Arabidopsis thaliana: one gene and its partner. The protein of the gene in region 1 interacts with the protein of each later gene in a pairwise test. Each region holds a gene or a part of one and is shown on either strand. Other genes may lie near its edges. The genes, in order: AT5G51150 and AT1G72180.

What was found.
Region 2: the proteins of AT5G51150 (region 1) and AT1G72180 interact in a protein complementation assay, tested with the Arabidopsis thaliana proteins (one large-scale study listed by BioGRID).

Annotation. Positions count from the first base shown.
Region 1 is NC_003076.8:20,787,295-20,791,224, reverse strand, and holds the start of AT5G51150 (Mitochondrial import inner membrane translocase subunit Tim17/Tim22/Tim23 family protein), read right to left. Parts: upstream 2,313-3,930; 5' UTR 2,192-2,312; coding exon 1,850-2,191; intron 1,678-1,849; coding exon 1,538-1,677; intron 1,399-1,537; coding exon 1,299-1,398; intron 1,206-1,298; coding exon 1,107-1,205; intron 950-1,106; coding exon 602-949; intron 492-601; coding exon 399-491; intron 295-398; coding exon 88-294; intron 1-87.
Region 2 is NC_003070.9:27,161,019-27,164,948, forward strand, and holds the start of AT1G72180 (Leucine-rich receptor-like protein kinase family protein), read left to right. Parts: upstream 1-1,801; 5' UTR 1,802-2,157; intron 2,158-2,978; 5' UTR 2,979-3,055; coding exon 3,056-3,930. UniProt on the Arabidopsis thaliana protein: Receptor kinase involved in the perception of C-terminally encoded plant signaling peptide (CEP) and subsequent regulation of root and shoot development.

The DNA of each region.
Region 1 (3,930 bases):
TTCCATTAATTGTATAAAACATCAGTTCCATTGCTCAAAGGGGAAGAAAGTTGGAAATAACAAAAGTGGTTTGTAATTGTATTGTACCTCAGCATTTTTAATGTCGGGAAGAAGGTGGCGATTAACAAGTATCTCCCACAGAGAATCTCCTGCTCGGGGAAGAACATATAGAGCAAGCTCAGAGCGTCTCGGTTTCTTCTCCAGCATAACTGAGAGGGCTGCTGCACCACCCGCAAACCAATAAACGAGCTTGTGGTCTTTGGTTGCAACTTTTCTATGGGCACATATGAAAGCCTAATGCAAATGGGATGAAGGCACATACATTTGGGAATGGTTTTAGGAAACTATGTGAATTGTATGAAATGAGGGGACACAAATCAAATGTAAAAACCAGCTACCTGAAAAATCCCAACAAAAGCAGACAAGAAGGACGTCGATCTAACTGAATCTCTGATTGCAAGCCAAGATGTCCGGTAAGGAGAAGCCATGAACTGAAATGAAAGTGTAGGATGGCATCAGAAACTACATATCATGTCTGACTAATGCATAAACCATAGGAATCTAAAAGACTGAAACGGCAAATATTGAGGGACAGTCTTACTTTTTGTAGGTGTAGAACAACATATGGGACAAAAGTCAGGGAGAAATATAATGGAAATGTTTTCTTGAATGTAGCTGACATTGCATTAGCATTTTGGGCCAGACACGAGTTAGTGTTTGGATGAATAGCTGCACAGGGAATGATGGAAGCAAACTCTTCCACCTTCACGTCGCTTGCTTCGTTTTTACTAGAAATATAGGCTGACAAGGAGGCTACATCAATTGGACCACCTCTGCAGCACTCTCTTACAGCTTGGTAGACAGGCCTTGCAACTGGACCAGTCTTCTGAATAAATTCTCTATATGATTTTGGCAAGGTTTCAGGACGCATTATAAAGGAATACATAACCTGCACCGACCTCATTGCAACAAAATTAGCTTGCTGACCATAATCACTACCAAATCACATTGGAGAGAATACGTATGGTACACAAAAATGTCTTTCAACGTCTATACTATCTCCATTACTAACTAGAACAGGAAGAAAAGAGAAGAATCTCAAATACCTGAGCACATGCAAGAGAAAAAAGTAACGAATCTCCATGTCTCCAATGGCTACCCCAAAGATGGAACTTGTTCTTTGACTTAGCGGAATTATAAGCCGCCTATTAATAAGAGAAAAAATCAGACTCCGAAAAAAACATCTGTGTGGTGATATTACTCTGTACGACAGACAATACTATGACCATTAGATGTACCTGGCCTAATCTAGCCAAGAGGTATAGAGCAAGTGTGCGACGCTGGTTGGAATCATCTAAAGCCAAGATAGACAAACCCGCAACTGAACCTGCTAAGACTCTGCTCCACCCTTAATCAAAGTCATAATAAGGAATATACTTTTCAAGCACTATGCACAAAGTAAAAAGTAGAAGCATTATAAGAAAAGAGATACAACAATCGAAATCTTAGGCAACACAAATAAATAAAATAAACTTACGAATTCAATGGCGTCTCTTTCTTTCTCCACTTCCTCAAACAGCATCTAAGGGCATGATACGAGCCAGTAAAGCCACCAAAAAGTAGACCAATACGACATGCTTCCTCCCTAACTATCAAATCTTTCTCTGAAACAAGTTGCTGCAACCATTGTTCACGTGTGAGTGAATCGCATATACAATGATAAGTCAATAACACATTGGCCATAGTTTCAAAACAACCGTATCAAATGGAACACTAAAGCAGAGACTCGTAAGACTCTAAATCTCCAGAAATTGCCACAAAAACAAATTCCAATTCATCAATTCCTCACCTTAAGATCGAGAAGAGACGAATAAGACTGTCCCCTAGCGAGCTTAAAAGCGCGAAGAAGAATCCCGATCCCAACTCTAACACCATAAGAGAGAAGAAAGCTCTGACATAAATTCCCAATGGCATTGGCGACGCAAGAAACGTCAGCGTGATCACACAATTCCGCGTGAGATCCACGCGCCGCAGAGCGTTGTCTACGCTGAAGCTCCGCCATGGCATCGCGTAGCCTCTCCTCCGCTTCTCGAAGCCGGCGCTCAGCCTCCGAGCTGTCTTGAGATAAAGGAGAAATCGGTGGAGGCGAAGAAGAAGGATCTAAATCCGGCTTGGAGAACGAAGAAGGCATCGTCAATTAAAAGGAATTGAAATCGGAAAGCTTCTCAAGCTCGTTTGCTTAAAGGAAATGAAATGATGCAATCAGAGAAAAATGTTGGGAGCAGTGAGGAAGAAGCCGATGGGGATATGCTATGACACGTCATTTCTTTATGATTTTTGATTTGTTTCTTATTTTCTTTTTTGGAAAATAATCCAAAAGATTTATTTTTTACCATAAAGCAGAAAGTGTGCGGGTGCGGTTGCGGTTGCGGGAGTTTGCGGAAACAGGCGGTTGCGGTTTCAAGCGTTATCAAGCGTTTTGAACGACTGGTTGAGCGTTTGATAATAGGTGCGTTTACGGGAGTTTTATGACTGGTAAACCAGCGGGTGCGATAGTAATTAAATAAAAAATAACCAAAATAAATATAATATATTAATTTTAAAAGAAAAAAAATACAATATATTATTATGATAAATTGATAATATTAGAAAATTAAACATGCTTAATAATTAAAACCATAAACAAAACATTAAATTCAAAAATAAATAAATTTTGTAAGAAAAAGCTTAGTACTTTATGCATTTGGTACATCACCAAAAATTGCATCAAGTAGTGTAATAAACTGTAAATAATGTTGAACTCGTGGGTTTTCCGGATTGCCTCTATACATATGATAAAGTTTTAACAAGAAACGGGTCATCTCGTCTGACCAAATAATTTTCTAATCGAGAAAACAAATCAAAACATGTATTCAATAAAAAAACTCAAAAAAATATAAAATAAAAAAAATGACGATGCCATGAAATACTCTGAGAATTACACTAGCTAATGAATGGATGAAAGGATAGATCATACTTACGTTTGATTCTTGATTTTGATTTTGATTTTCGTTAGTTTGGGTAGATGCCATAATTGAGAAAATAGGGTTTCAATATATTGATTAGGGTTTTCTGATAAGAATAAGATATATACGGTTTGGGTGGAAGACATAATTATTTTAATTAATTAAAAAAAAAAATTAACCTAACTGCTACCGCCCGCAACCGCAAACGCTTGCGGGAAGGAGCTTTTGAAATCTGGCGATTTCAAGCGGTATCTAGCGGTTTCTATGATTGGTGTCAAACGCTAACAACCGCTACCATCCGCAAACGCAGCGTTTGCGGGTGGCAGAGGGAGAACCAATCAAAACAAAATGCGACTGGTTTCGTCGAAACCCAAATTGTTGGCTATGTGTGAAATTCTGGGACGCACATTTGTGATATTGTTGTGGCTTGTGATAGTAGCTAATCGGATACGTAGATAACATTTGGTCAGGGCATTTGGTACTAGTCGTTCGAAACGATAACATACTTGGTATGCACTATTTGGCTTTCAAGGATCCAACGCAAAAATGGTTGACATGAAGTCGACCCATGCATTTGTAAAAAGAAGCATCGAGCACGTTTGCTTCAACAAATTTGATGTTCTGACTCAGTTGTCATATTTTAAAAGCTATATAGTTGCGACAAGCCGACAAGGTACCTCGCATCACAGTTCACAACCAATGTAAACACACACTATACAAAACTCGGTTTCGTGTCTTCGTGACCTAGGAGATGGAGTTGTGTATACGGTTTCAACCAGGTATAAATTTATATAAGTACATTTTCACTCCTTCAATATCTAGTAAATGGAGATGGTTATACGGTTTCACCGTTTCAAAAACAATTTTGGTGAAGAAAATGTAATCTTCTACGGATATTTAAATGTTGATAAATTACTTATGCAAA
Region 2 (3,930 bases), on another chromosome or scaffold:
TAGAATATTTTTGTGTGATATATATGTATATATAGAGCAAACAATGTGGAAAGCGACTGGGAAAATAAAGGAACCAAATGAGAAAGGGAAGGGATACAGCTGGGGAAGTCAACATCCAAATCAAAGATCTTTTGATTCTCACTCACATATCCCTTTATTAAACCGTATCTCTTCCCATTTAAACCGACACAAGAAAATTTATTAGGTATCACGGTTAATACTTTATTATTCAGTAGAAAGTATTAGTATTTAAACAACTAAAGAGAAGTTTTTTTTTTTTCTTGCAATAGCTAAAATTCCATTTTGTATACTCTTAAAAAAACTATGTTAGTATTATTGATTTTGGCCAAATGTATGGGGGGATTTTTTTTTTATAGTATTCTCATCTACTTTTTGTTTTTGTTATTGACTGTCTCTGATTTCTTTCTCGTGTATTGTCTCACTTTTTAAATCATTATCTTAGATTTTTCTTAATAAAATAAAGAAGCAACATACTATATACTATTCTAACATGTAGGATGATAACCTTGTAAGGGCCATAACTTTATGGAATTTCATTTGTAAGTTTGAATAATTACCAATCGAGTGAAGTGAGCATGAAAACAAAGTGATTCAGTGAAAGGGGTACATTTATAACCACATAATCATCATATACTAACCATTTCACTATCTATTACCGTTTCTAAATATTTTACTGTATTATGGTCCTTTAATTTGTGTTTTAACTTTTAGTGGCTAAACGATGCCATAGGACCCAAGGCCATCACACATTGATATCAATCAGAAAGAGAATAAGCAATTATAAGTTTTCATAATAAATATGTGATATAAAACTTGGAGATAAATCAGAATGGGATTCGGAGCATAAGGGGATAACATTAGAGAGATGGATGTAGAAAGAAAAGGACATTGAGTAGGTTAGACGATTCTTATCAAACTTCACTTAAAAGGGTAATCGACCCAACAACATTTTAGTTCTCTCTTTCTTTTTTGGTTCTTTAATTTTAATTTATTTTCCAGACTGTAAACGAATATTAACACTACAGAAGAAACCAAAAATGTTTTTTTTTTCGGCCTAACTATTTGGGATCAATACGATTCGTTGCTTATTTTTTTCTAGTAACCTTCATAGGTTTCTCCAAGCTTTCATTATTTATTGTAATTGATCTCCACTTTAAAAGTAAAATCCAATAAATCAGCATTTCCTAATTATATACTAGTAATATTTTTTCACTTTTATTTTTATCATCTTATATATAGGAACTATATGAATGTAAATGTTTTCACGTAACGTTTTGGACATATACAACTAGTAGTTGCTACTAATTCCAATAGGAACAATTATCGCTATGACAAAAACAAATATCAAATAAGATTATTTTCCAGACAATGACGTATCATTATAATAATAAATTTTAAAATGTTTTATTACAATGAATCTCCACTTATTATCAATCCATCTAGAAACATTAACCGAAAGATGAATGTTTTTCTACATCCATGAAACTAATTTTTTAGGTCAATGTCTGTTGTTGATCCTCTTTTATATATTAGAAAACTATATAAGCACCGTTGGATTTTCTTAACCTGAGAGCGACGCTAACTATAAAGAAAGATCATCATAACATATTATATGTCAAAATCAGTATAGTCAGATGATTTTTATTAACTTTAAAAGTTTTTACAACTTTCACGAACATGAATTGTATGGTGAGAGAAGCTAGCTAGAGAAATAGTTGATTTTTTGATAAATGATTTAACCTTTTTGGCTCCAAGTCTCGACGACAACTTTCTCTTGTCTCTTCTCACTTCTCTTTCCTCTCTCCTCTCTTCTCAAATCTCTCTCTCTTTCGTATTTCTTGGAGACATCTTTCTCTGGAACTGTTCTTCATCGAATTCTATCTTTTGAGAGAAACTAAATTAAGTTGATAATCGAAGAACTTCCTCGAAATTAGGACTTCTTCTGCTTTTTGTTGTTTCCTAGAGATTTTCCTAGAACGTGGTCCAAGAAAATCACACAAAAAGGTTCATTCCTTTTTTCTTACCAGAAACCACAAATCAAAATCATCTCCCCTGTCTTTGTTTGAAATCTCTCAAATTTAAGAAGGATCATCCATTCACTAACCTGAGATTTTGGATAGGTTTCATCTATTTCAGGTACGATAATTCTTCATTATATTTTGTTTAATCCCGTTGCTTTTCTTGGTTTTAAGTTTTGAATCTTTAAGCCTCACATATTTGTTTTCTTTACTCAATCTAAGGTTGTTTTATTTCCAAAGATTTAAAGGATAGATTCTGTGAAAAAGTTTCTATAAATTTCAAATTTTCAAATGTGTAGGTTACTAGCTCTACTAATAACATAATTACTTTATCCACTAACTACAATCTGCATGACTCATTTTTAACTTGATTGTTTATTTAATTACCTTTTTAATCATTAATCCTTGATAGATACTCAATTCTCAATGTTGTGTTGTTCTTTTTTCATTAAAATTCAATGCTTTTAAAGTTTATATTCACAGATTTAGAAGGAGAGAGAGAGAGTAAAGATAGATCATTTGCTTTACTTTCAAACAAAATAATTAAGAAACTGAAAATTTAGGAGAAGGATAATAAACTTTCTGCACTGTAATGAGTACCTTTAAAGCTCACTTTTGGAGTTTGTGTACTTAAGCAAGCTTAATATGTCCATCTACCATACATGATGTATAAATGTATCACAACTAATTTATGATTTATACAAAACTGTTCACAAATCACATGCACCCATTCTTCTTACAAAATCTTTGCTATGATTGATTTTTTATATATATAGTAATATACGTGCATAGAATATAATAATAATAAACAGTAAACACAATTGGAAAACCATAATACTATGAAAATCCCATACATTAAAATATCAAATTTATTTTGAGTGGATTATTAATTGTATAGTGGTTAGTTTGTTGATTTCATATCTTTATTTTTCTATGTAGGTGGGAATTCCAGTGCATCGACCATGATCAACACCTAAACTACAAATTGACCGTTTTGCCCTTGGGAATCACTATAAATGTCGAGAAGACCAGACCTCCTACGTGGCAGCGTGGTCGCCACCGTGGCTGCCACGTTTCTCCTCTTCATTTTCCCGCCGAATGTTGAATCGACCGTTGAGAAACAAGCTCTGTTTCGCTTCAAAAACCGCCTCGACGACTCTCACAACATTCTACAATCTTGGAAGCCTTCCGATTCACCATGCGTGTTTCGCGGCATCACATGCGACCCGTTATCCGGCGAAGTCATCGGTATTTCTCTAGGAAACGTAAATCTCTCCGGCACCATTTCTCCATCAATCTCAGCTCTCACAAAGCTCTCTACGCTATCGCTTCCATCTAACTTCATCTCCGGAAGAATCCCGCCAGAGATAGTCAACTGCAAAAACCTTAAAGTTCTCAATCTCACCTCCAACAGACTCTCCGGAACAATCCCAAACCTTTCTCCTCTAAAGTCCCTAGAAATTCTCGACATCTCCGGGAATTTTCTTAACGGAGAGTTTCAAAGCTGGATTGGGAATATGAATCAGTTGGTTTCTCTCGGTCTTGGCAACAATCACTACGAAGAAGGTATAATTCCTGAGAGTATTGGAGGTTTAAAGAAACTTACTTGGCTGTTCTTAGCTCGCTCCAACTTGACCGGGAAGATTCCAAACTCGATCTTTGATCTGAATGCTCTCGACACTTTCGACATCGCGAACAACGCAATCTCCGATGATTTCCCAATCTTAATCTCAAGATTGGTAAATCTCACCAAGATTGAGTTGTTCAACAACAGCTTAACAGGTAAAATCCCTCCGGAGATAAAGAACTTGACTCGTTTACGCGAATTCGACATCTCTTCGAATCAGTTGAGCGGGGTTTTACCTGAAGAACTCGGAGTTTTGAAGGAGCT